Coturnix japonica: one gene and its partners. Each later gene encodes a partner of the first gene's protein in a complex. Links are inferred from orthologs where the notes say so. Each region holds a gene or a part of one and is shown in the gene's direction. Other genes may lie near its edges. The genes, in order: CHTOP, THOC2, THOC3, THOC5, SARNP, ALYREF and THOC7.

Evidence for each region.
Region 2: CHTOP (region 1) and THOC2 share a complex: the UniProt entries of both Homo sapiens proteins name them as parts of the transcription/export (TREX) complex. The link is inferred for Coturnix japonica from reciprocal best matches to the Homo sapiens genes CHTOP and THOC2.
Region 3: CHTOP (region 1) and THOC3 share a complex: the UniProt entries of both Homo sapiens proteins name them as parts of the transcription/export (TREX) complex. The link is inferred for Coturnix japonica from reciprocal best matches to the Homo sapiens genes CHTOP and THOC3.
Region 4: CHTOP (region 1) and THOC5 share a complex: the UniProt entries of both Homo sapiens proteins name them as parts of the transcription/export (TREX) complex. The link is inferred for Coturnix japonica from reciprocal best matches to the Homo sapiens genes CHTOP and THOC5.
Region 5: CHTOP (region 1) and SARNP share a complex: the UniProt entries of both Homo sapiens proteins name them as parts of the transcription/export (TREX) complex. The link is inferred for Coturnix japonica from reciprocal best matches to the Homo sapiens genes CHTOP and SARNP.
Region 6: CHTOP (region 1) and ALYREF share a complex: the UniProt entries of both Homo sapiens proteins name them as parts of the transcription/export (TREX) complex. The link is inferred for Coturnix japonica from reciprocal best matches to the Homo sapiens genes CHTOP and ALYREF.
Region 7: CHTOP (region 1) and THOC7 share a complex: the UniProt entries of both Homo sapiens proteins name them as parts of the transcription/export (TREX) complex. The link is inferred for Coturnix japonica from reciprocal best matches to the Homo sapiens genes CHTOP and THOC7.

Annotation. Positions count from the first base shown.
Region 1 is NC_029540.1:1,241,118-1,244,263, forward strand, and holds the end of CHTOP (chromatin target of PRMT1 protein), read left to right. Parts: exon of another isoform or gene 1-785; intron 786-791; coding exon 792-978; intron 979-1,085; coding exon 1,086-1,223; intron 1,224-2,184; coding exon 2,185-2,387; 3' UTR 2,388-2,646; downstream 2,647-3,146. UniProt on the Homo sapiens protein: Plays an important role in the ligand-dependent activation of estrogen receptor target genes. May play a role in the silencing of fetal globin genes.
Region 2 is NC_029519.1:14,682,029-14,685,528, forward strand, and holds part of THOC2 (THO complex subunit 2), read left to right. Parts: coding exon 1-112; intron 113-770; coding exon 771-1,046; intron 1,047-1,822; coding exon 1,823-1,964; intron 1,965-2,567; coding exon 2,568-2,725; intron 2,726-3,500. UniProt on the Homo sapiens protein: Component of the THO subcomplex of the TREX complex which is thought to couple mRNA transcription, processing and nuclear export, and which specifically associates with spliced mRNA and not with unspliced pre-mRNA.
Region 3 is NC_029528.1:12,224,398-12,228,685, forward strand, and holds the start of THOC3 (THO complex subunit 3), read left to right. Parts: upstream 1-1,488; 5' UTR 1,489-1,593; coding exon 1,594-1,776; intron 1,777-2,016; coding exon 2,017-2,173; intron 2,174-2,797; coding exon 2,798-3,002; intron 3,003-3,269; coding exon 3,270-3,431; intron 3,432-3,520; coding exon 3,521-3,621; intron 3,622-3,945; coding exon 3,946-4,109; 3' UTR 4,110-4,288. Other genes in the region: SIMC1 (SUMO-interacting motif-containing protein 1), read right to left, coding at 1-203, 397-1,119, 1,270-1,281. UniProt on the Homo sapiens protein: Component of the THO subcomplex of the TREX complex which is thought to couple mRNA transcription, processing and nuclear export, and which specifically associates with spliced mRNA and not with unspliced pre-mRNA.
Region 4 is NC_029530.1:9,918,897-9,922,880, forward strand, and holds the start of THOC5 (THO complex subunit 5 homolog), read left to right. Parts: upstream 1-1,184; 5' UTR 1,185-1,429; coding exon 1,430-1,522; intron 1,523-1,938; coding exon 1,939-2,082; intron 2,083-2,520; coding exon 2,521-2,634; intron 2,635-2,902; coding exon 2,903-3,000; intron 3,001-3,079; coding exon 3,080-3,226; intron 3,227-3,984. Other genes in the region: NIPSNAP1 (protein NipSnap homolog 1), read left to right, coding at 9-40, 215-309, 431-514, 585-649. UniProt on the Homo sapiens protein: Component of the THO subcomplex of the TREX complex which is thought to couple mRNA transcription, processing and nuclear export, and which specifically associates with spliced mRNA and not with unspliced pre-mRNA.
Region 5 is NC_029544.1:1,002,719-1,006,691, forward strand, and holds the start of SARNP (SAP domain-containing ribonucleoprotein), read left to right. Parts: upstream 1-1,173; 5' UTR 1,174-1,267; coding exon 1,268-1,303; intron 1,304-1,738; coding exon 1,739-1,838; intron 1,839-2,070; coding exon 2,071-2,117; intron 2,118-3,231; coding exon 3,232-3,299; intron 3,300-3,973. UniProt on the Homo sapiens protein: Binds both single-stranded and double-stranded DNA with higher affinity for the single-stranded form. Specifically binds to scaffold/matrix attachment region DNA. Also binds single-stranded RNA. Enhances RNA unwinding activity of DDX39A.
Region 6 is NC_029533.1:4,449,609-4,451,726, forward strand, and holds the end of ALYREF (THO complex subunit 4), read left to right. Parts: coding exon 1-71; intron 72-165; coding exon 166-229; intron 230-382; coding exon 383-560; intron 561-1,333; coding exon 1,334-1,348; 3' UTR 1,349-1,618; downstream 1,619-2,118. UniProt on the Homo sapiens protein: Functions as an mRNA export adapter; component of the transcription/export (TREX) complex which is thought to couple mRNA transcription, processing and nuclear export, and specifically associates with spliced mRNA and not with unspliced pre-mRNA.
Region 7 is NC_029527.1:10,990,640-10,994,600, reverse strand, and holds the start of THOC7 (THO complex subunit 7 homolog), read left to right. Parts: upstream 1-1,161; 5' UTR 1,162-1,252; coding exon 1,253-1,271; intron 1,272-1,572; coding exon 1,573-1,690; intron 1,691-2,596; coding exon 2,597-2,724; intron 2,725-3,042; coding exon 3,043-3,129; intron 3,130-3,961. UniProt on the Homo sapiens protein: Component of the THO subcomplex of the TREX complex which is thought to couple mRNA transcription, processing and nuclear export, and which specifically associates with spliced mRNA and not with unspliced pre-mRNA.

The DNA of each region.
Region 1 (3,146 bases):
TGATGCTGTGTGACTTGAGCTGGTTAATATCACTGAGTTAATTTCTTTGCTGGCTGTTGATATCTCCTCTCTATTTTTTCAGAGATATGTTGGTCATTCTGGGGTTCTGGATCTGCTGAGTGCTTCATCTCTCAATGTAGCTGCAGTAACACTTGCAGATTGCTCCCAGCCCTTAGAGCCCACTGCTCCCATCCCCACCTCCACCCCCTGGTGGTGCAGCTGGCTGCGAGGACCCAGATGAACCAAACTGATAACATGGAGGCTTGCAAATGCCAGGCTGCAGGCCTGGGTTTAAGGAATAGCATTACGTTTTCCTTGTGCAAGTGTCTTAATCCCTCGTCTCAGTGGGGAACGCTGCAGGTTGTGGAGTGTTTGTTGAATTAACCCCATATGAAGTGGGGATAGCTTTGAATTCTCTGCTCCCCCACAGCTATATCAAGGGGTTGGCATGGTCTGCTCGTTGTCAGGCTGTTCCAAGCTTTAATTGAGATGAGGAAGTTGGAGAGATGGACTTCAATGTGTTACTTCACATGCAGGGAGAGCCCTGGGAAGCTCTGAGCTGCTTCACATAGCTGGAATGCTTGAACCTCACTTAATCTCTGATAAGAAGGAAGGCAGCTGTGCATTTGATTGCCTTCCATTTCCAGCACTGCAGACAGCTGGGAGCCCTCTGCTTTCAGAACACAACCCCCAACCTTTTCTCACTTAAGTGCCAATAAGGAACTGCTTTGCTTTCCTTGCCGTCCCCAGATTGCTGCATGACTTTCTTGTTGTTTAACAATCTATTCCAGAAGAGCTTGAAGCAACGCCTCGGGAAAAGCAACATCCAAGCACGACTGGGCCGCCCTGCAGGCCCCATTGCACGCGGAGCTATGGGGGGAAGAGGACTCGCTATGGGGCAGAGAGGTTTGCCACGAGGAGCCATGCGTGGGGGCCGGGGAGGCAGAGCTCTGCTGAGAGGAGGGCTCCCATTGCGAGGTCAGTGCTGGGATATGGGGGGGTTTCTGGGTTCTGTTGTGTCATATTGTACTGCAGCCTTTTGTAATGGGGTGTGAGAAGTGATGGGTGCTGTTGCTGTGTTGCAGGTCAGGGCCTGCTGCGGGGAGGCCGAGGAATGGCCCCCAGGATGGGGCTGAGAAGAGGAGGGCTGCGGGGCCGCGGGGGGCCGGGCAGAGGTGCTATGGGGCGAGGAGCCATGGGGCGAGGAGGACTCGGCGCCAGAGGTCAGTGGGCAACAACCCCAGCAGCTTGAAACAAGCATCAGCTCTCACCCTATTGCACTGCTCACTTAGAGCTGCTTGACCCTAAATGCTTCGCCAGGCCTCGTGCCTAACCCAGATCCCTCGCCGTGGTGTTGCTTATATGGGGTTCTGGGATCTGCCCCAGCAGATGTGCAGTGCTTCGAATGGGAGCACAGGGCTTGTTTGTGCTGTTTCCATGCTTGAATAATGCATGGGCTGCGTAAAGCAGGGCTGGGGGGGTCAGCTCAGTGCTGTCTCCTGGGGTAGCAGCTAAATAGGAGGTGTTTCCCCATATAAGTCAGCAATTAATGCCTCCTAAATAGGAGGTATTTCCCCATATAAGTCAGCCCTTAATGCCTCCTAAAGGTGAGAGCTGTGGATGGGGGTATCCCAAAGCCTGACATCCTACACACAGCACAGGGCTTGGAACTAAATGATGTGGGCACAAAGAGAGCTGGGGGGGCACAGCAGATCCCAAACCCTATAGGGCTGAAACCAAAGCAAGGCAGGGAATGGGGGGCTGTGGGGAAGGAATTGGGGGGCTGTGGGGCTGGAATTGGGGGGCTGTGGGGGTGGAATTGGGGGGCTGTGGGGGTGGAATGGGGGCTGTGGGGCTGGATTTGGGGTTATGGGGTGGGCTGTGGGGGTGGAATGGGGGGCTGTGGGTTGGAATGGGGGTTATGGGGTGGGCTGTGGGAGTGGAATGGGGGGCAGCAGGGGAATGGGAGCTGTGGGTCTGGAATGGGGGCTGTGGGGGTGGAATGGGGGGCTGTGAAGTGGGTTGTGGGGTGGAATGGGGGTTATGAGGTGGACTGTGGGGTGGAATGGGGGCTATGGGGTGGGTTGTGGGGTGGGCTGTGGGGCTATGGGGTGGGCTGTGGGGCAGCAAGTCTCTACCCAGCCCCCCACCCACATCCCTTAACCCTCGTGCTGTCTCTCTAAGGCCGTGGCATGGCAGGTCGGGGAAGGGGCGGCTTCGGAGGCCGCGGCAGAGGACGAGGCCGAGGCAGAGGATCAACCCGACCTGCACTGACCAAGGAACAGCTGGACAACCAGTTGGATGCTTACATGTCCAAAACTAAAGGACACCTGGACGCCGAGCTGGACGCCTACATGGCACAGACAGACCCCGAAAGCAACGACTGAAGGGCTGATTGCACTGACTGCTGTGGAAGGTGGGGTGTTATCCCATCCCCTAAGGAACGAACCCCCCCATTGAGGCTGGGAGGACCCACGGGAGCAGGGGGGGCTGCCCCGTTGTACCAGAACTTGAGTACGTTTTCCTTGCCTGGTTTTTGTTTTGATACTCTTTTAATTTTTTAATGTTGGCGTGAAAACCCTTTTTTTGGGATTATTATCTATTATTTACTCTCCTACCTTAAAAGTGTTCTGAATGAGAATCTGACAGCTGTGATACAGTCCATCCTATGGGCCTGCAGTCCACCCTATGGGGCCGTGGTCTGTCTATAGGGCCGCAGTCCATCCTATGGGGCCGCAGTCCATCCTATGGGGCCTGCAGACCATCCTATGGGGCCGTGGTCCATCTATGGGGCCATGGTCTGTCTATGGGGCCTGCAGTCCATCCTATGGGGCCTGCAGTCCATCCTATGGGGCCGCGGTCCATCCTATGGGGCCTGCAGCACATCCTATGGGGCCGCAGTCCATCTATAGGGCCGCAGTCCATCTGTGGTGCCTGCAGTCCATCTATGGGGCTGTGTTTTGGGATGGGAATCGACCCCCCCCCATTCACTTGTATTGAGCCCATGGAGCTCAGAGCCCACAGCTCAGCTCTCAATGCTTTTCCTTACCGCCCCCTCCCCATCCCAATGCTGCTGGGGGGGGTTGTTATGGGGTTTTTCTGCCCCCCCCCAACCCGGTTCGGTTCTGTTCTGTGAGCTCCTCCAT
Region 2 (3,500 bases), on another chromosome or scaffold:
AGAGGATTACATTAAGCGAGTGCCTTCAATTGATGTTCTTTGTAATGAGTTTCACACGCCTCATGATGCTGCATTTTTCCTTTCAAGACCCATGTATGCGCACCAAATTTCAGTAAGTAGAACTCGTTTCATTTCTGTCTACTGTTACGAGATGCCCATTTACATGTTATAATTGTGTTGGGATCCTGCACAGATTGTCTACTGAATAAGAGTTCTAGGTGCTTTTTTGAACAGTTGAGGTAGAACCAGAAGCTGTGGTTTGGAAGAGATTCTGCTTTATCTTCATAGGGAAAATATAGGCCATGTGCCAGCTTTTGCACAAGTGATAGCAGTTGTAGCTAATGATTTCAACTCTTTTGATAATTTGGGTGATCAAGAGTTCTCCCACCCAGATTTCCCCAAATATGTAGTTTTTTGTGGCTATTTTAGATGTTTCTTGCTGTGGAGAGAAATGCTGCAGCTGTCAAAAGGTGAGGTATAAAAGGAAGAGGCAAGATAAATTTGTCCCTGCAACTAAAAAAAGTATTGAAAACAGTTTTTCAGCATAATATAATACCTTGCTGTAAGAAGTAGTGAGCTGAAAGATGATAGCATCAGTGAGGATGATATGCAGCATGGATGCATACTAAAAGTATACATAAAATTGTATATAAATTTTGTTTTGTAAAGATGATTTTCATAGAAAATTTTCTGAGAAGCTGAATTAAATTTGGTTCACATATGGAGGTAACAAACTTTTGTTTTCTTTTTTCATTTTTTTTTTTCCCCAGTCCAAGTATGATGAACTTAAAAAAGCTGAAAAGGGAAATAAACAGCAACACAAAGTTCACAAATACATTACAGCATGTGAACTGGTGATGGCTCCCGTTCATGAAGCTGTGATCTCTCTGCACCCTCCCAAGGTTTGGGATGACATCAGTCCTCAGTTTTATGCCACATTCTGGTCTCTGACTATGTATGACCTTGCTGTCCCACACAGCAGCTATGACAGAGAAGTCAATAAACTTAAAGTCCAGATGAAAGCCATAGATGACAATCAGGAAATGGTATGTTTGTGATTTCTCTTCTTTTGCTCCGGTTTCACTTTTCATTAAATCCTACATTAAGATATAAGTTTTCCTTTGTGCTAAGGAAGGGAGTTATCTTCACACACTGATATCACTGATAGCATTACTGGTTGTCTCCCAGCAGAGATGAAACCTTTCCTGCAACTGCAAGTTATCTATGCATAATTTGCATTTTAAATATTGCTCTCTTTTGTAGAGTAAAGTAGACTCCATGGTGGTAGGTAGGCATTTATTTTGGTAGAAATCTATGAAAAATGAACTGCTGACTTGTAGTGCATGACAGGATGACAAAGTTCTACTCTGAGTTAGTCATTTACTTGGAGTTTCATCTGTTTTATGTAATCATATTTTCGGGTTAAGCCAACCAAAGTTAAACCTGTGTTAACTGAATAAATTGGTCTGTTGATAGAGGTTTGTGTCAGCTGATTCATCCATTCCGATTTCTCATGGTTACATGCTTTAGACTTCCTTACAATTCCAGCTTCAAAACTACCAGTGGCTCCATTAAATAAAAATTAGTGGAAAATCTTGTCTTTCAGATAAGTCTTGTCACATCTGTATCTGTACTTTGGCTGTTCACTTAACATCATTAGTTATCCATTGTTAATGAATCAGCTCACAATTAGAGCTGAATGCTATTTAGAGAAATAGCTTTTCACATATTTCTCAGCATTACCAGACATTTAATTGCTCTGTACCTAGTGTAAGTAGTATTAGTGTAAGTATATTAAATGAATTGCATTGACATTTTACAGCCTCCAAATAAAAAGAAAAAAGAAAAAGAACGTTGCACTGCTCTTCAGGACAAGCTCCTTGAAGAGGAGAAGAAACAGCTAGAGCACGTTCAAAGAGTTTTACAGAGACTGAAATTAGAGAAGGATAACTGGCTTCTGGCAAGTAAGTGTGTGTATGTAGTTGTTGCTGTCCCCAGAACTAAAAGTTCAGTTCTGCCATGAAGTAACTTCTAATTTGAATGTAGTGTGTCTTTGTAAATGCTGAGTAGTTCCTTTTAGGGAGATGTTTTATTTGCTTCTTGCAATGGCAAGGCCTTTTAATATTGTACTGACTTAGAAAATAAGAGCAGGACGGATTTGATGTGAGGTGATAGTTACAAGAGGGTTTGCACATCAGTTGCTGTATTGCAGGTCATAGAAATGTGAACAGCCAGTGAGTGATTAGAGTTAACTTTGAGCACAGTGATGAGGAGCAGTATGCAGAATCTCAGTAATTGAAGGAGTTTATGGTAATTTTTCTGAGCTTTTTTCCATTGTAACAAAAGATTTTTTGCTGTAAGAAATAAAGGTCTGCTAGAATATTTCTACCATTTTGCCTGTTCCTCAAAGATTAAAAAGCTTATTTTGACTTTGAGTAGTGTCAAAGATATGTCAGGATTACAAACTGGAGAATATGATATGAAATACTGAATTTTTGGGGAGTAGTAGTTTAATTGCTTACCCATTAATGTACTAACTTTTTTCTTCTATTTCTTTGCTTTTGCAGAGTCTACCAAAAATGAGACTATCACAAAGTTTTTGCAGTTATGTATATTTCCTCGCTGCATTTTTTCGGCAATAGATGCGGTTTATTGTGCTCACTTTGTAGAACTGGTTCATCAGCAGAAAACACCCAACTTCTCCACACTTCTCTGTTATGATAGAGTAAGTATTGAAAGCTCTCTGTGTATGTATTGTTATAAGCACATAAAATTAGTATCCTCTTTCCTTTCCAAAAGCAATCTCAACGAAGTCATTACTTGCATTTAATTTTAAAATCTATTGTGGAAGTGAGAAGGTCCCTTTTATGCTTCCTGTTCCACAAATGAAGTTCTCTCTCTCCTAGACCTGAGGATTATTTTCAAGTGGTTTTTTTTTTTTCCTTCTGATTTATTCTAAGACAGCTAAACTTCTAAGGGAAAGTGGTCAGCAGTCATACAAACTACATTCACATTTCAAAGCCTTGCAGTGATCTGCATTTCTGTGATTTTTTTTTTCTAACTCTCCACCTTCAGTTGTGTACTGTGCTGCTGTACACAGCCTCCTTTAAGCTTGCCCTGACAAGCGTAGTTCTTGGGACACTGACTCTGGTGATGGGATTAATTTTTATTACTGCTGAGACATAGAAATGTGATACCACAAGTGTTACTGATGACTGCAGTAACCTGATTTTCTGGATCAAACAGCTCCAGCAGAACTGGCTCACTGTACTATTCTGTGACTTCAGAACCTTTCTGGTGCTTTCTGCTCAAAGAAGCCAGATTATTTAGTTAATAATTAACAATCATCTGTATGGTTGCAACAAATTTGTGTGGGGCTTCATTATGAAAACTATAGTGAAGAGTTTTTGTTTTTTGCATGAACATTTGACTAAAAGTTGTCAGGTTACCTTTGAGACTTTTGAAGTAGGGATCTGCTCTGATTTCATTGGTCCAAAAGA
Region 3 (4,288 bases), on another chromosome or scaffold:
AGCGTGTAGGTGTTCTGGAGGATCTCCTCCTGGTGGGTGTGCAACAGGATGTGTCTGATCAGATGGGAGATGATTTCTTTAGGAGGGCAGTGCTGGCTGGAGATGAAGTCACTCAAGAAATGCAAGGTTCCCTCCAGGAAGTTCTCCTCCATGGTGGTGCGTACCATGCTCATCTTACTGCTGGGGATGAGCTCAGGTTTCCGCTGTGTGCAAGGTAAGGCAATGGGTGAAAGCCAGCCCCCCACGGTACAGAGGAACCTAGCAGTGATTTGAGGCCCACCATTAAGAGAATTGCAATAGCCAGAGATCCCAATGGCCTGGCAAAACTTCCCCTGGAAGTTTTTCCCCTGCTCTGAGTGGACCTGGCTGGGCAGTAGCTGCTCTGAACCCATTTACCTGTGGTGTTCCCCTGTCAGATGTTGCACCGTGAAAGAAGAGGTGCTGGACTCCGCTCCTTCTGAAATAGCGCAGTTTGTTCAGCCAGGCCATGCTGTCAGAATTAGTCCTGGCTGAGGTCCCATGTCGGATTGCTCCTTGTGAGACACCTGCTTCCAAAAAAGTCCTTTTGACCTTCCCTGGGCTCTTGGTGACGCTGGCTGGAGCAGGGCTCAGTCTTGGAGGGAGCTCCCTTCGTTGGAAATGAGGGGGACTCTCCTCTATGCTGCGTGTGCTGCCATTACTGTCCAGGATGGGGGGGGGTGGTGAGAACAGCACTTGATCTGGCTGTGTGTTGGTCAGGGAACTCAAGTCAGTGTTATACGTGGTGGTGCTGTAGCTCGGTTCTTGCTTGCAGGAGAAGCTGTGGTGGCTGAAGGCAGGAGAGAAGCTGCTCTTGTTGTCTGTTTTTCCTGCTGTGTCTGTACCAGGCCATGTGGGATAGCCGTGTAAGGGTGCTGCAGGGCTCAGCTCTGTGTTCGTCTCCGTATTTTTCTTTGTGCTGAAGCAAAGCTGGGGATGAGACGTGTGTGTGATGGGGGGAGCACACAGCTGGTCCTGGGCAGTACAATCTGCAGCCGGGGGAGGACTGCAGGTGTCCTCCTTTGTCAGGTCAATGATGGGGATGTAGTTCCATGGCAGTGGCTCTGAGTTTGAGTCCTCCTGGGTGAGATCAATGATCTCCTGTGGGGACAAAAGGGTCAGTCAGTCAGCAATGATAACAGCTGGGTGCCTCGCTCCTCCCCTGCTCAACTGGGGATCCCTTAGAGAAACCCGGAGCCCGGCCATGGGCCCTGCACCCCGCTAACAGCCCCCCCTTGTATCCAGCACTACCTTCACATCCATCGCATCGCAGCACGGCTCTGGAGCTACGACACCACGGAGCCTTTTGTCAAGACCTGCAAAAGAAAACCAATTTCAATCCATGTTTCCTGCCCGCGGCCCTTCCGTCTCCCCTCGTAGGGCGCCGTGCAGCCCCGATGCCCGCTCTGCCCGCCGCGTCCCCTCGTTACCGGGCACCAACTGCCGTGACGGAACAGCGGCCGACGGATGCCCGGCAACCCCCCGCCCTCCGTTCTGCTGGGGGTCGGGGCTTCATAGGGCCGGGCCGGCGGAAGCTGCGTCAGGGCGGCGGGGCGGGCGGCGCGTTGGGGCGGGATGGCGCTGTCTCCGTACGTGCAGGCCATGCAGGAGCTGTTCCGAGCCAACACGCGCAGCCGCGAGTTCCCGGCTCACGGAGCCAAGGTTCACTCCGTGGCGTGGAGCTGCTGCGGCCGCAGACTCGCGTCGGGATCGTTCGATAAGACAGCCAGCGTGTTCCTGCTGGAGAAGGACCGGCTGGTGAGCGGGGGGAGCGGGCCGGGAGCGGGTGGGACTGAGAGACGGAACGGGAGCGGGGTGCTGGGCAGGGCGGCCACCCTGCAATGCTTCCAACACATGGCTGTGTTGGAAAGACCCTTAAGAGCCCCCCCAGCCCTGCTATGGGTGGCTCACGCCCCCTCAATCGAGCTGCCCTGGGCCCTACGCGTGGCCTTTGGCACCTCCAGGGATGATGGGACTACGGCTCTCCTCCTTTTCCAGGTAAAAGAGAACAACTACCGAGGTCACGGTGACAGCGTGGATCAGCTCTGCTGGCATCCCAGCAACCCCGACCTCTTCGTCACCGCGTCCGGGGACAAAACCATCCGCATCTGGGACGTCCGCACCACTAAGTGCATTGCCACCGTCAACACCAAAGGTGGGGCCCCTGACATTGAGAGGTCTTTGCTGCTTTTGGTTTCCTATCACACTCTGTTAAAGGGTCACGGGAGCTTGTCTGGAATCTATGGGCAAGAGGCTGGTGGCTGGGGAACGTGTGTGTGCAGAGAGATGTGGCAGAAGTCTGAGTTTACATGGATTCATAAAGCAGCCATTCTTATTAATGGGTTGATTAGCCCAGCTACCGCCTCTGGCCTAAGAAATGTGAGTCTTCCAACTGTCAGGGTTGAGAATGGAGTTGTAAGGTGGCATATCTGCAGCACTGCTTGGTCCTTGTTCACACGCGTGTACTGTTGGATGTTCTGCATATCGGGGATCACTGGGTTAAGAGGGTCTTTTGATTTGATCTTGCTTTGTGGTTACTGTGTCTAAAGGGAAGGGATGGCAATGCAGTCATATTGGCTCAAAGCTACAGCTCTCAGTTTAATTTTCAGTGCAGAGTTTCAGTGTTAAATTGCAGACCTGGCAGTTCTTCCCATCTGGGAGTGATTCAGAGTTAGCAGAGCAGACTGTGGCCTCAAATCAGAAACAAAAGCCTCCTGCCACTGTGACTCTTGCAAACTGCTGGGTGGAAATGGGACCTGCTGCTTTTCTGTCCCTCTAGGGGAGAACATCAACATCTGTTGGAGCCCTGACGGGCAGACCATTGCGGTGGGGAACAAGGATGATGTTGTCACCTTCATCGACGCCAAGACGCATCGCTCCAAAGCAGAGGAACAGTTCAAGTTTGAGGTGAACGAGATCTCCTGGAACAACGATAACAACATGTTCTTCCTCACTAATGGGAATGGCTGCATCAACATCCTCAGGTGGGTGCCTGTGGCAGCTGCTGGGCAGGGTACCAGGGTTGGCTGCCCTCGTGCATCGCTGCTTGTGGAGGCAGTTTGCACCACTCTGCTGCTTTGGTGGAACCAGAGTCCCACATCCCAGTGATTCCCAGTCACTGTGATGGCAGCAAACTCACCCTGCAGTGTTTTGTTTCACACCTGGTCCCTGCATGTCTCACACCTGCCCTGCTTGCACAGCAGCCCTGTGCTTCTCTCACTGTTTCCTGCCCTCTCCCTTCATCTCTGCAGCTACCCAGAACTGAAACCCATTCAGTCCATCAATGCCCATCCTTCCAACTGCATCTGCATCAAGTTCGATCCCATGGGGAAGTACTTTGCCACAGGCAGTGCTGATGCTCTGGTCAGCCTCTGGGATGTGGATGAGCTGGTGTGTGTGAGGTGCTTCTCCAGGTAGGTAGTGCTGTGTCGGAGCTATTTGCTCCCCTCTCTGGTGACTCCATGGGGGTTCACTCACTGTCAGCTTTGCTCTAATGCTGCAGGCTTGACTGGCCTGTGCGAACACTGAGCTTTAGCCATGATGGGAAGATGCTGGCATCGGCGTCGGAGGATCACTTCATTGACATTGCAGAGGTGGAGACAGGTAATGGTTTGCTTTTGGGAAACAGAAACAAGGGAAGCTGATGGAGGTGTGCTGGTGTGGCTGGGAGGGCACGGGAAGAAACGGCTTGGCTGTGTGCAGTAGAGCACCGAGAGGGGGAGCCTCTGCCTCATCAGACCGCTGTCGATATGCGTGTCATGTCCATGCCTTGTCACCAGGCGATTAAAAGGCGCTGAAGCAGCGTTTGTTCCTCCTCTGCCCTGCGTGGGAGGGAAGAGGCAGGTGTTTAGCTGCGTTGTGTGCTGCGGGTCAGCCTGCAGTGGAGAGCAGGAGGCTCCAGGCTGATGTGGGCCCTTTTCTGTGCAGGAGAGAAGCTCTGGGAGGTGCAGTGTGAGTCCCCTACCTTCACTGTGGCCTGGCACCCGAAGAGGCCTCTGCTGGCCTTCGCCTGTGACGACAAAGATGGCAAATACGACAGCAGCCGAGAAGCAGGCACTGTTAAGCTCTTCGGGCTCCCCAATGACTCCTAATGGAACTGCAGCAGGGCAGGGAACCAGGGGCCACAACACTTCCCCACGCTCGGGGATGGAAGAGTGCTTAGTTAGCATAGGATGGGGTAAGGATGTGGGTCCTCTCCTTACCTGCTTGTCAGTGCCGTCCCCTTTGTCTCAGCTCCACGTGTGCTGCTCTCAGAAGCATTTGTAAAAAG
Region 4 (3,984 bases), on another chromosome or scaffold:
GTTTGCAGCCAGGGACCATGATCGAGTGGGGCAATAACTGGTGAGTGGCTGCTTTATCCAGCTGCTGTTCTGCATATGGCCAAGTGATGCTGGCCCTTGGACCCACTCCTGCATCCTTGTTCCTGTGGTGGTGGCACAGATGAAGCCTTGGCCATCCTTAGCATGGGGACATTAGAGCTGAGCAGCAGCTCAGTGTTTCTCTCTGTTCTGCCAGGGCTCGGGCCATAAAGTACCGCCAGGAGAACCAGGAGGCAGTGGGTGGCTTCTTCTCTCAGATCGGGGAGCTGTACGTCGTGCACCACCTCTGGGGTAAGCGGGCTCATCTCACCTACCCCACCCTGGCACTACCATCACCTTGTGCACCCCAAACCCCACACACCATTCCCTGGGGGTTGCAGGGGGGTTAAGAACGAGGTTTCCCCCCCTGCAGCCTACAAGGACCTGCAGTCCCGTGAGGAGACAAGGAACGCAGCGTGGAGGAAGCGGGGCTGGGATGAGAACGTCTATTACACGGGTGAGCACACGGGGCTGGGGCTGCCCCTGCTGTGCTGTGAGCTGTGAGCTGACCCCGCTGTGTTTTGCAGTGCCGCTGATTCGGACGATGGAGTCCCGGATCATGATCCCCCTGAAGATCTCCCCGCTGCAGTGAGATGGGACACGTGCTGCCTGCCCCAGCTCTGCTGGGAAGTGCTGGGGGCATCTCCTCCCATTGAGGGGGGACTGAGGGGGATGAAGGTTGAGACTCTGACCCCCCTGGGCTCTTCTCCCCCCTATTTGTGGGGACCTGCAGGTGTGCCCCATGTTGCCATTGCCCTCCATGCAAAGGACAAGCCCTCAGAATCCTCCTGAGAGCTGGGCTGGGGGCTGCTCATAATTACCGCTAACGAGCTGCTCGTCGGGTGCCTGTCCCCGCCGGGCTGTGGGGGGGGGGTGTCGCCAATTAAATATTTAATTGCCAGCGTCTGTGTCTGGGGAATAGGGAGCATTCGGGACATAGGGACCCTAATACATGAGTGGGCCTTAACGCTGAGACCCTCCACAATATCCCTGGTGCTATAGGGGACACCGTGCAGGCCACGCCCCCTTTACAGGCCACGCCCCCTTTACAGGCCACGCCCACTGCAGCTCCAGTCCTCCGAGAGCAGGGGGCGCTGTCACCGCATCGATGGGCCGCACTCGTCTGCTCCGCGACGTCACTTCCGGGGTGCGCTGAGGCGGGCGGCGGGGTGGGCGCGGGGCTGCACCACAGCTCGTGCGGTTCGTTCGGGGGGTCCTGAGTGAACACGGACGGAGCTCCCGGGGGGGTCCCGGTGGTCGGGAGCGGGTACCTGGAGCTGAAGGGCCGGAACGTGGTGCCCCGGTGAGGTAGAAGTGCTGGAGGCCTCGCCTGGGCCCGCTTGAAGAGGGGCGGCCTGGTCCCCGCAGCGCCATGTCCTCGGAGTCCAGCAAGAAGAGGAAGCCTAAGGTGATCCGAACGGACGGGGGCCCGCAGGAGGGCAAGCGGGGCAAGGATGGAGAGCAGGTAAAGGGTGGCCGGGAATGAGGATGTGCCGAACAGTGCTGGGTCCCAGCCGACCCGCTGGGACCGCCCCGCTGCGGTGCCGGCTCGGTGAGGACACGCGGTGCTCAGCAGGAGGCTGCATGGGCCTTCAGGATGCCTGCATTACCGCGGAGCACGGTGAGGGCTCAGACCTTCAGATCACGGGGCTTCCACACTGCGTCAGCTCAGGCAACCCTTCACATTCACAATAACTACATGAACAGGCAGCCTCTGCTTTCCAGGTGTTTGTGTCCTGGTTTGGTTACTGAGCTGCCATTCAATGTATGAAATCTCAGGCTAATGCTGCAAAGAATGCAGCATTACACCCCAGCCGTGTGTTTCCTATTGTTTGTGAACATATGGGAGCGAGCAGTGCGGGTACTTTTTGCCCTTTGCAGGATGCTCAGTACTACAGTGAGGAGTGTGAGGTGGATCTGCGGGACCCCATCAAGGACTATGAGCTCTACAAAGAGACGTGCCAGGAGCTACAGAGACTCATGGCAGAAATCCAGGAGCTGAAGAGCAGAGGCGTCAAGGACAATGTAAGGAGAGCCCCGAGTGCTTGGTTTAATGCGATCTCTTATTTATCATGTAATTTGAAAGGAGCAGCAGCCGTGCCACGTTCTGGGGAAAATGAGGAAAACGGAACAGTCTGTCTTAAATAAAATGAAGTATGATGTAGCTGAGGAGTGTGGTCTTTGAGCAGTCATTGCTCAGAGTTACTGACCTCCAAGGCATGGCTGGGACGTGTGCCCATGGGCTGGGACTCCCGGGGGCAGAACTGAGTTCCTGTGGATACTATAAAGCCCTCTAGTTGTGTCCAGCAACGTGATGCTCCTCAGGAACCCCAGTAACATCAGCACTGCCCTGCAGAGGAGCACAGGGCCCCGCTTGTCTCAGTGCTCAAAGAAAAGGCTGCAGCAGGAGCTCTGTGCAGGGTGATTCTGTGCTGCTTCAGCCATTTCCTTCCTGCCTCTTAGGCCTCTGAGATAGACGAGCGACGCGTTCAGAGCTGTGTGCACTTCATGACCCTGAAGAAGCTCAACCGGCTGGCTCACATTCGGCTGAAGAAGGGACGAGATCAGACCCATGAGGTACGGAGTGGGCACTGAGCACAGGACATGGTTTTAAAGAGCAGAGATGCTGCAGTTTCTGCTGCCTGTGTGTGCATGTGCAGAACCAAACGTCAGCCAGGTGGTGCTTTCTGTGCTAGAGGTTTGCTAGGAGGCTTTTCTGCAGGAAGGCAGGGGTAGTAATTGCAATATCTTACAAAAGAGGACCATCTTCTCCCATCTCACGTGGCAGTGAGTCAGATGCATATGTCCCATCCAGCTGTGGTCACTGGCTGTGTCTGTGTTTTAGGCAAAGCAGAAGGTTGATGCCTATCACCTGCAGCTCCAGAATTTGCTTTACGAGGTGATGCACCTACAGAAAGAGATCACCAAGTGCTTGGAGTTCAAGTGAGTTTGGCTGGGAAGGAAAAGGAGTGACTGTGTGTGTTTGCCACCCTTCCCTGATCCAGGTGTTCTGTCTCTGCAGATCGAAGCATGAGGAGATCGAACTGGTGAGCCTGGAGGAGTTTTACAGTGAAGCTCCCACCGAAATCAGCCGACCTGACATCACCCTGACAGAACCCCACCAGCAGACCCTCGCCCGCCTGGACTGGGAACTGGAGCAGCGTAAGAGGTGGGTCCATTCCACATCCCCCTTTCTGAGCTGCAGAACAGTGCTCCCTACAGACAGCCCAGGCTGTGCAGCCCCTTGGCGAAGCAGACACCAAAGATAAAGGTTTTTACAGCATTTCAAAATGATCCCTGTGGAGGAAGTGTCAGATTTATTGTGTGACTGTGTCCTTGTTATGAAGATTCACCCCTTGGGTTATGACAGCAGAGGTATTTTAGCCATCCAATAAATCCACACGTGCCCACTCCTTCTGGTGTGACCAGTGTGTCTGCTCAGAGACTGTTGCAGCAGGGAACAAGGCCTTCACCAGCGTGGCGGTGATATTTAAGGATGGGCAGCCATGCACTTCGATCCAGGACCCTGTTCTGCAAGATGAGCCATGTAGAACAAAGCAATGTCTGTTTTGTCTGCTGTGCTGTGGTGTGAAGAATGAGTTTGAGTGTCTTGGTTCATCTGCTTGTGGCACCATCCCAATGCAGGATCTGATCCCCATCATCCCTCAGCTGACTCAGGGCCAGGCAAAAGAACAGACATACCATAATTCTTTGTAGCATCCAGCAGAAGGATCGGTCTAAGCTGCCAGTAGATGCTATAGGAACAACACAGCCCAGAATAGCAGACTAATAAGAGGTGCTGCAGAAGCTTGCAGAAGACTGCTCAACCTGGGGATTTCTTTTAGGATTCTCCTCAGTACTTCTTGTTCATTGCAAGCTGTGTAGAAGGTGAAGAAAAGTTCAATTGAGCTGCACAATAAAACACTG
Region 5 (3,973 bases), on another chromosome or scaffold:
TTGGCAACAGAGAAGGCAAGAGTAGCATGAATGGGGCTGGAGGAAAGGCAGGGAGAGCTGTGCAGAGCCGTGCTGTGGGGTATAAACGTGCTCTGTGCGCTCTCACAGCTGCTTCCCAGGCCAAGAAGCTCCTGTCAGCAATGGACTCCCCACAGAACTCTGGCTCTGGATGCATTCCTTGAGCCCCAGCACTTCCCACACCCGAATACAAAGCTCAGCACCCAGCCCAGCGATGCTGACACGGCTGATAAACCAAACTGTGACCCAGCACAACCCGCGACTCACCAGGTTGTGAATGACGTTGGTGAGAGTCCACACCACGGGGACGCTGAAGAAGGGGATGCTGAGCAGGACGACGTGAAGCAGCCAACGCCAAGATGTAGGACAGCCAGATGCCACGGCTGTTCATCACCCGCGTGTTGGGGTTCACCTCGCTGTGAGCCACGCCGACGTTCATCTACAAAGAACCCAATGCTGATTTAGGGCCCTAATACACCTTAAGGCCCGATTTATGGACCCTTTATGGACCATTCCCAGAACATGAGGCGATTCCAGCCCTGATTCCTCCCATAATAACCTATGGAGTGGCACCACCATGCACTGGGCCTGGGCCCGGCCTATTGGGCCTGTTGGGCCTATGGGGCCTATGGAGCCTATTGGGCCTATGGGGCCTATTGGGCCTATTGGGCCTGTGGGGCCTATTGGGTCTATGGGGCCTATTGGGCCTATGGGGCCTATTGGGCCTATGGGGCCTATTGGGCCTGTTGGGCCTATGGGGCCTATTGGGCCTGTTGGGCCCGGCCTGGTCCTCGCTCCATCAATGAGGCCTCAGAACCAAAAACCGACCCTAAATCCCCCATTCTCCCGGCCTTAATCACACCCTCCCGGTCCTTCAGCCCCGCTCAATCCCGGTTCCGACCCCGGTTCCGGTCCCGGTTCCGATCCCGGCCCGTTTTACCCTCCAGCTCCGTTGATGCCGTTGTCAAAACCCGGCCCGCTCGTCTCCAGGAAGTCACCTCACTCCCGACCCGCTGCTCCCATTGGCTGCTCAGTGGAGTTTCTCCTCTACTATTGGTCATTTTGCCTGTCATTCAACATCGCCTCACCCCCCGCCCTCCGGTGGACCAATAGCAAACATGAGGAGCCGGTGGGAGCTAACCAATCGCAAGGAGCGATGTTGAAATCACCCGTTCAGAAAGCTCAGTTGTGATTGGACGCTGGGCAGCCGGCGGGGGCGGAGCCGGCAGCGAGCTGTGGGGGCGACAAGATGGCGGCGGAGACTGTGGAGCTCCACAAGTTGAAGGTAGAGGCCGCTCCGTTCATAACGGCAGCTTTGCGGTTTGGCCATCGCTTTGTACACACGGAGGGGTTTGTTATACTTGAGTTGTGGTGTGGGCTTGCTCAGGTCCCGGTGATGCTGCCGGTAACGGGGCTATGGGGGAGGTTGGGCCTTGGAGGCGCTCCGGTATCGCCTTCTATATAGGGCCGCCTTCTGTCTATAGGGCCGCGCTCTGTGAGGCCTCGGGGCCCGTTACGAGGCCTCAGGCCCGGCCTGAAATCAATAGATAACAGGGGGTGAATCTGGGCCTGGCTGCATTAAAACGGGAGTGAGGAGGAAGGAAGGAGGGAGACATTAAAGCTCCTTCTAAAGGCTGTTAAAATACGATGCTTTGATGCTGTGTTATATGTGATATGAGTGAATCCCTCCTACTAACCGGCTCCTCTCCATCCCCATCAGTTGGCTGAGCTGAAGCAGGAATGTCTCGCCCGCGGGCTGGAGGCGAAGGGCAACAAACAGGATCTGATCAACAGGCTGCAGGCCTACCTGGAGGAGCACGGTGGGTACCGGGTACCTGCGGGTCACAGCGCTCATAACCAACCCCCTGGGGGCAGATTCAATGCTGTCAATGGCGAAGAGATCCCTCAGGCAACGGCTGTTGTGTGGGGTGTTGAATGGAGCTGAGCATCCCCTGTTTCATCATCAGAAATTCATCGTTTCTTTATCTGAGAAGCCGAAGGCGTCGCTCAGTCATTTGTATCAGCGACTGACCCGCTGTTTTTCTTCTTTAGCTGAAGAAGAAGCCAACGAAGAGGATGTTCTGGGGGAAGAAATAGAGGTAAAGCTGAGGGATGGGATGTTGTGTTGGCGGTGTGCGGCCTCTGGGTGGCTGTGTTGGGCATTGATGGGCCAGAGCAGTGCAATGAGCAGCAGCAGTGCAGGAGATCTGTTGGGCTTGGGGCTGTGCTGGGCTTGGGGCTGTGCTGAGTTTGAGGCTCTGCTGTGCTTGGGGCTGTGCTGGGCTTGGGGCTGTGCTGAGCACTGTTGGATCTGAATCGGCCAGTTTTGGTGCTGGGGGCTCAGTGCTGCTGTGTTTGCATGGAGAATGAATGAGTGCACGGTGGTTTCTGTATGAGCTCGTGGTCACGATACGTGGCTGGTGTTTTAGGAGGGGGAATTCTGCCTCTTTTCAGCAGGAAACGTGCTGTTGTTGTGTGTTTGTTAACAGCAAATCTATTGGGGTTTGTTGTGCTTCTGGTAAGGAATCCCTAACAACAAACTGGTGCCCTGATAGTGGGCAGAGCTGCAGGAGGGGACTGAGCCTCAGAATTGGACCTTTATGTTCTGGGACGTACAGATATCCCAGCTTAAAACACGAGCAGAAAGCAGCTCTGCTGCTCAGCACACATCTCTGCAGGGACATATGTGGTGCATGGGAGCTCTCCCCAGTTGTCTATGAAGTTCTTGGTGGGAGAATTGAAGTGGACCTCATTGGATGAGTGTCTGACACTGAGCGTGAGCACTGTGTGCTTCTGATGCTCTTTACTTGCAGGCCTGAGAATGTCTCAGTTGGGATAATTTCCTAAGCCTGTGAATCCCAAACTGTTGGGTAAGGCTTTGGGGGGTAAAAAAGAGAAGAACAAGCAATTCCTGTCCATAAGGTTGCTCATACCCTGCATTATTGAGCAGAGTCAGACCCCATTGGGGAGGAGGAGATTTCAAGCACACAAGTAGGAGACAGCAGCATGGGGAGACGCAGCTGCTTGGGTTCCCTGGTGATGTGTGGTCTCACCAGCTGCTCTAGCATGAAATTCAGATACTTATGGGTATGTTCAGGCTGTACTACAGGCATGTTGCCTCTGAGGACCCAGAAGAGCCATTGCTGCCCTTATTGTGATGTTTTGCTCTTGCTGAGTTGCTCTCTGACCTCCTCCCAACTCGTTGCTTTGCAGGAAGAAGAGCAGAAACCAGCAGAGCCACCCGCCAAAGTAGAAGAGCCTCCTGTAAAAACGCCTGATGTGTAACTATCCCTTTCTACTTAATCCAAAGCAAAACTTGTGGGGGATGCTGTAACACAAGAGATGCATGGCAGGGGAGAGCTCTGCCTGCCCCTAATGCTTGCAGGCTCTTTTTAAGGCTCTGTGAGCCCATCCTGTGGCTGGAGGGGCTGCAGTAAGGGGAGCTGGAGTTCTGTGGCCTGATGGCTTTGCTGGGGGGGAGCTGTGTGGGAGCCCTCAGAGCGGGGAGAGCGCCTGGCCCCAGCCAAATTGCTTCCTGTGAAAGTGTCATTAAACCATTACTACCTTTCAGGGCATAAAATGAGAAACCTGTCCAGGAATCTGGAACAAAAGCAGCGCGTTTTTCTAAATGGGAGACCTTAATGAGGCTGGCTGTGACCTACTGTTTTATGGGAGTTTTTTAGAGGAGGATGATGCTATTTCATTTAGCCTGGGAACTTCCGAACTTTGTCTCTTCCTCCTTTGTTTTTTCCCCCCCCTCCCCTCGAGCCCAAGCTCTGTTTTCTGAGCATAAACTTTAGAGCACGCCCACTCCATTATATTTTTGTTCGCTCTTTTTACTGGTCCTGCTGTTGTCAGCTGCACATTGTTCAGGAAGTGTGTGTTTGAAATGGAGCCTGAGCCCAGGACGTTGGTGCTGACCTGGGGAGAGCTGCCTGGGGCTGTCCCATGAACT
Region 6 (2,118 bases), on another chromosome or scaffold:
AGATGTGCATTTTGAAAGGAAAGCAGATGCTCTGAAAGCTATGAAGCAGTACAATGGAGTCCCCTTGGATGGTGAGTCTCTGTGGCTGTCGTGTGCTTCTCTGCACGGCTGATGGCATCTGTGTGCCTGCCACACTCACAGGGTAACTGGCTGCTTTTCCTGCAGGGCGCCCCATGAACATTCAGCTGGTTACATCACAGATAGATACACAGAGGAGACCAGCACAGAGGTGAGAAGCCGCGGGAGTCGCTGTGCCAGTCAGCACGGGGAGTGAACTGGCCTGTGTAGGAAGCATGGAATCCTCCTCGTGTCCTGCAACCTTCTGAGTGCCTGTTGGGGTTAACCAGAATGCACTATAACAGTTGCTTTTTAAAAATCACAGTGTAAACAGAGGTGGAATGACCAGAAACCGTGGTGGTACAGGAGGATTTGGTGGTGGAGGTACCAGGCGAGGTAGTCGTGGTGGGAGCAGAGGGAGAGGCAGAGGGGCTGGAAGAACTTCCAAACAGCAGCTCTCTGCAGAAGAACTAGATGCACAGCTGGATGCTTACAATGCCAGGGTAAGTGCTGCTCACATGATGGTCACGGGTACCTACAGCGTCCTTTTGATAAACACTGGCAGCTGGCTGGAAAGAGAAATTGTTTTTCAGGTCATTTGACTTAAATAGCCTCCCTCTAAAGCTGAGCATTGCCCTGTTCCTTCAGCTGCCTTAGCTCTCCACATCTACTGTTACTCATGAGTAATAAATAGCCCCTTTTCCAACTTCTCCTGGCTTGTTGAAGCCTGTGTCAACCAGAATTGGCAGTAATCAAGATGTGTGATGAACGAAAGCTATGAACCAAAGCCCAAAGGGATAATAGGCTGGAAAAATGAAAAGCAAAAAGAAAAAACACATAAAATAACCAGCTTGGTGCTAAGAAAGGAAAAAAAGTCAATGATGCTGATCACCCCTAATGCAGGTGGATGAGCAGAGCAGTGCACATGGTTTCTTTCATTCAGAATGAGCTCAGATATTGTGCCACAACAAGACTAAAGTCTTAACTGAGAATCAGTTAAGAAGTGATGCAGGGACTTGGCCCAAGCACTGAGGTGCAGTTTAGGTCTGCTCAGTGTGTGCTGTGGATTGGGCTGCATCTCCGCCATTGAGGCAGCAGCATCCTGGGGTTGGCAGGCAGGGCTGGGGGGTGTCAGGGTTGGGGATGGAGCTGGGGGGTTGTGGGGCCATGGTGGGTTGTGGGGTCATGGTGGGTTATGGGGCCGTGGTGGGTTATGGGGCCATGGTGGGTTATGGGGTCATGGTGGCTGCTGACGCTCCTCTCTGTTCTCTTCCAGATGGACACCAGCTAAAGCGTTGAGCGGCGCATGGAAGGACTGCAGACATCTCATTCCATGCTGTGTGGCGGGAGGGGTGTGCGACTGTGGCTACTAATATCAAGGATGGGATTTGTTTTACTTTTATGTTTTGGAATAGGTTTTAAACTCATGTAAAGGTTTTTTTTAATTCTGAAGCCAGACCCGTTTTGTACCGAGTTATTTTTGGGATAAATTTTACTGGTTGCCTGTTGGGCCGAGGTGGCTTTTTCACCTTTGCCGTAATAAAATAGAACCGTGTCTAGAGCTCCGCCTGCTCCCTGCCGCGCGCTCCTTTCCCGCGCCCGCGCTGCGCGGCGAACGCGCGCGTACTCCCTGAGCCAATCAGAACGCAGCGTCGAGGCAGGAAGTGAGGAGCGGGACACGCCCTCGTATAACGGGAAGTGACGGGCGTGTCCCGGAAGTGCGGGGGTGCGCGGGCGGCTGGGCGGATCCCGGCGGCGTTGGACCGCGGCGCGGACGGTGAGAGCGGCCGGGACGGCGGGACCGGGCGGGGCGGGGCCAAGGGAGCGGGGCGGGGGGCGCCGGGATCCGCCATGTGCGCTGCGGCCGGGCCGGGTCCCGCGGGCTCAGCGCCACGCCAGGGTCCGGGGCGCGGCCGAGGGGGCAGCGGGCGCCGTCCGGGTGCGCGGCGGGGAGCGGAGCGAAGAGCGGCGCCTTCGTGCCTTGAGGCCGCCCCGGCCGCCGCTGTCGGACCGGAGCCGGGTGGGGACCCGCTGGCTTCAAATAGATTCTCCATAAATGGT
Region 7 (3,961 bases), on another chromosome or scaffold:
TATTAAGTGTTGATAAGACCAGGATGCTCCAAGATGCTGAAGATAGGAGATCTAAGTAGGGTAGGAAAGCGCCACTTTTCACATCAAATTATATCACTCACAAATCACGCAGAGATACATAAAAATATCAAGAAAGCAGCATATTTACCCAGTTTTTCTACACTGGAAATACCTTCAATCCAGATGGAGCTTTAATGACCACTCTCTGTAGCCCTTCCCAATAGTGCCTCGCAAAGAACCTACCAGGTGCCACTTCACAAGTCAAAGTGCTGGCTTGCAACAATCTAGTAATATGTAAACCCCTGTTATACATCTCTATCCAGAACAAAAGAACCCGTCGTCACTCAGGGCTCTAAAACCAGGAAGATGGAGATGACACTACATGCTGACACGGTTCTTTCTTCCTTACACCCATTTTCTCTTAATACACAGCAACAAGCAGAATGAGTCTGCATGTACTTAGTGTCCAACCAAGAGGAGAAGGTAATGCCAAGATGTCAGGGCCTGGACATGCATCTCACATATCATTATTGTACCAATGTATCTTAAAGTAACATTATCAACTTTAGCATGGCACAGGTGTCAACATTTTGGTCCAAAAGGCGAAAACCCAACACTTGATCTCATCCAACAGCTTAATACCTCTTTTCTCCCGGCACACCCCAGCACCGGTTCACTTTTCCATATAGGAACAACCCGCTCTGGTTACCACCCACAGCACAGCACCCCAGGAAACACCTCAGGAACAACATTCCACATCCTTCCCTTGCCCCAATGCTCAGCCTCTTGTGTCAAGCCACACACCAGGGACTCATCCCAAGCGTGACCCGAGGCGCTCAGCCCATCTCCCCTCAGCCCACAGCGCCGGCCCCACGCCTCGATGCCAGGCGTCGAAGGGCGAGGGCCATGTGCCGAGGGCATGGCGGGGCGGCCCAGGAGGGGGGCGGCGGGGTCGTGGGCGCGGTGGTTGGGAGGTGGAGCCTGGCTGCGGGCGCGGGGACCTCCGCTTCCCTCCCCCGTCGGCCTCTCACCTGGCGGGGCCGCCCCTCGCCAGGGGGCCGGTTCCGCGCGGGGTGCGGGCCTCCCGGCCGGCCCTCCCCGCCGATGGGCCGCGCGTTCGCCGCCAGCCGGCTCAGGCCCCAGCCGCCGCCGCCGCCTCCCCCTCCATGGCCGCCGCTCTCTCCGGCTGCATTGTGGGAAGCTGACCTCACTCGCTGCTGCCGCCGCCCCGCCGGCTCCGCCGCTCGCCGCCATGGGGGCCGTGACCGACGGTGAGACCTCCTCCCTCCTGCCCTCCCTCTCGCTGTCCCCGCTCCGGGTTTCTCACCCCGGGGAAGCCACGCACCCCTGCGCGGCGGCCTCACCCCGCATGGAGCGCTTCCAGGCCGCTCCGCTGCGCTCAGTGCCGGGGCCTGGGGCTCCATCGGGCCTCTCGGGCCCAGCCTCCCTGCCGATCCCAGGCCCCGCGTATTGAACGCGTTTTATTTCACCCACATTCTGCTGGGTGAGCTCCTGCCGTGCCACACGCTTCCAGCACGGAGCGCTAAACACGAGTTGTTTTTTTTCCCACAGATGAAGTTATCCGCAAACGGCTTCTCATTGATGGAGACGGAGCTGGGGACGACAGGCGGATCAATCTGCTGGTGAAGAGTTTCATCAAGTGGTGTAACTCTGGATCTCAGGAGGAAGGGTATTTGTTGGCTGTTTTTAAGTCTTGAAACCTCATTGCTTTGCAGTTGAGCATAAAACTGAGCATCTGTTTAGACAAAGAAAGTAAACTGTGTTAAAATGCATCCATTTGGGCTGGATGTGGCTCTGGGCTCCGGTGGTTGGCAACCTTGCACACAGGAGGGGGTTGAAACTAGATGATCATTACAGTCCTATTCATAGCCATTCTATGATCTCTGCTATGTTCAGCCCTGTGTGGTTCTCTGGACAAAGCCCAGGAGCTGTGGCAAGAAACATGCACTGGAGATGGGTCAAAAATTACAGAGCAAACCATCCTGAAATCTAACAGCGAAGGCTCTGGAGGTTGGCACGTTGCTTCACGATTCAGCAGTCCCATTATTACAGCAGGATCACGACTTGAGTGTTCCATTTGGTGGCTCTGCATTTGTTCTGTTAGGTGGGGGCTGTGCTGCTTCTGCTGTACTGCCCTGAAAAGAAAGAAGAAAACAAACAGGCCAAAGAACTAAAGGTTAAGCAACATGTTGTTCTGCAGTAGGGTCTGTGCCGATGCTGGAGTGCAGGAGGGCACTCTGTGATGATGCTGTGCACAGAGAAGCACTGGAGTGTTAAAATATTAATCGTGGTGGGCACAGAGCTGGCTCTAGTTGGGAAGAGTATCATCCCTGGAGCAATCTGCCCATGCTGTAATGCTGCTTTATACCTTTATGATGATAAAATTAATCGGTGCAGCATTCATTTTTAACTGTACTTTTTGCAGTTGTGCACTGAATCTTTGAAGTCCTTTATTGCTTTAGTAATTGCTGTTTTAACTGTTCCGTACATTACCTGAGGCTTCATTTTCCTCGTGATATAAAAACAGGCAGGTATTTTCATGCTGCTGAGGAATAAATGTCTTGTTTGCTTTCAGTTACAGTCAGTACCAACGAATGCTGAGTACTTTATCGCAGTGTGAATTTTCAATGGGAAAAACTCTTCTGGTGTATGACATGAACCTGAGAGAGATGGAAAATTATGAAAAGATCTACAAGGATATAGGTAAAAAATGAGAAAAAAAATATTCTATGCTTATTTGAATTTCTCTTTCATAAAGAAACTCAAGTCAGTTCTGATAAACAAAATGTAAACATGAGATGGGTGACAGAAAAACTATTTTAATACCACTCATACTTGCCCTCGTGTTTTGTCAGTGTGTAAAATGTGTATAAGTAAAATATGTTTTTAGTCTGTCAAGGCATAGATGGTTTTGAAGCCCGTGGAGATAGCAGGCAGTATAAAATACAAAGTGCTGTTTGTGATGATTTAGCTGAATGGATTGATGGCGTTTGTTGTTTGATTTGTGTCTTTCTGTTAAAGAAAATAGTATAGCTGCAGCACACGAGAAGATTTCTGAATGCAAGAAACAAATCCTGCAAGCAAAAAGAATTAGAAAGAATCGCCAGGGTAAGCAGCATTATCTACACTGGGTGGTTTTATTAATGTGTTATCTTTTAAAATACATTGTACTGGAAAACAGATGACATATTTCTTGAAAACTCAGAAGAAAATGCTCTCCATCGATGCTACATAGAGCATTATCTGGTAGGTTCCACACAGACTGCTGAAAGTTTGGTTGTTGAGGTTAAGGCAGTAAATCTTAGTGATGTAACATGAGGAGAACTTAGAGAGTAGCTCAGAGGTGTTCTCAAGCCAAAGAAACCCTCCCAAGCATCCTTTGACAATTCAGTTGGCTTAAGAACTAAAGCACATTAGTAGCAGCAAGACAAAAGAGTTAAATAAGCTTACAACCAACACTGAAAGTTATATAAGTATATTCCTTCAGCTCTTTAGAAGGAAAAGTAGTACCTAATACAAGAACAGTTGTACCAGTTGCATACTCATTTTACATGGCCTTGCAAAATACCTCTAAACCAGGTATTACAGACATCTGTTCCTTATCCTTAAAAGACATACTGATATTTTTAGTTGAAATTTAAAACATTGCCCTGTAAGTCTTATCAAAATTTAGCAATTGGGAAGGTAAAATTTTGCTTCCTAAAAAGTGAAATGTAAAAATAGTTGAAAAGAAAGAAAGAAAGACCAGCTGTAACAGGTGAAAGGTTTTAAAACCTTTAAAAACACATGCACATATGATTTGTGGATAATGTTAGACTCTATTATTAGAGACTGAAAAAAGCCTTAAGCAGTAGGAAAGTAGAGTACTTAAATCTTCACAAGCACGGATCTGAAGTGTTTGCTTTTGAAGATGTTCTGCCCACGTTTTCCATCTGAATGT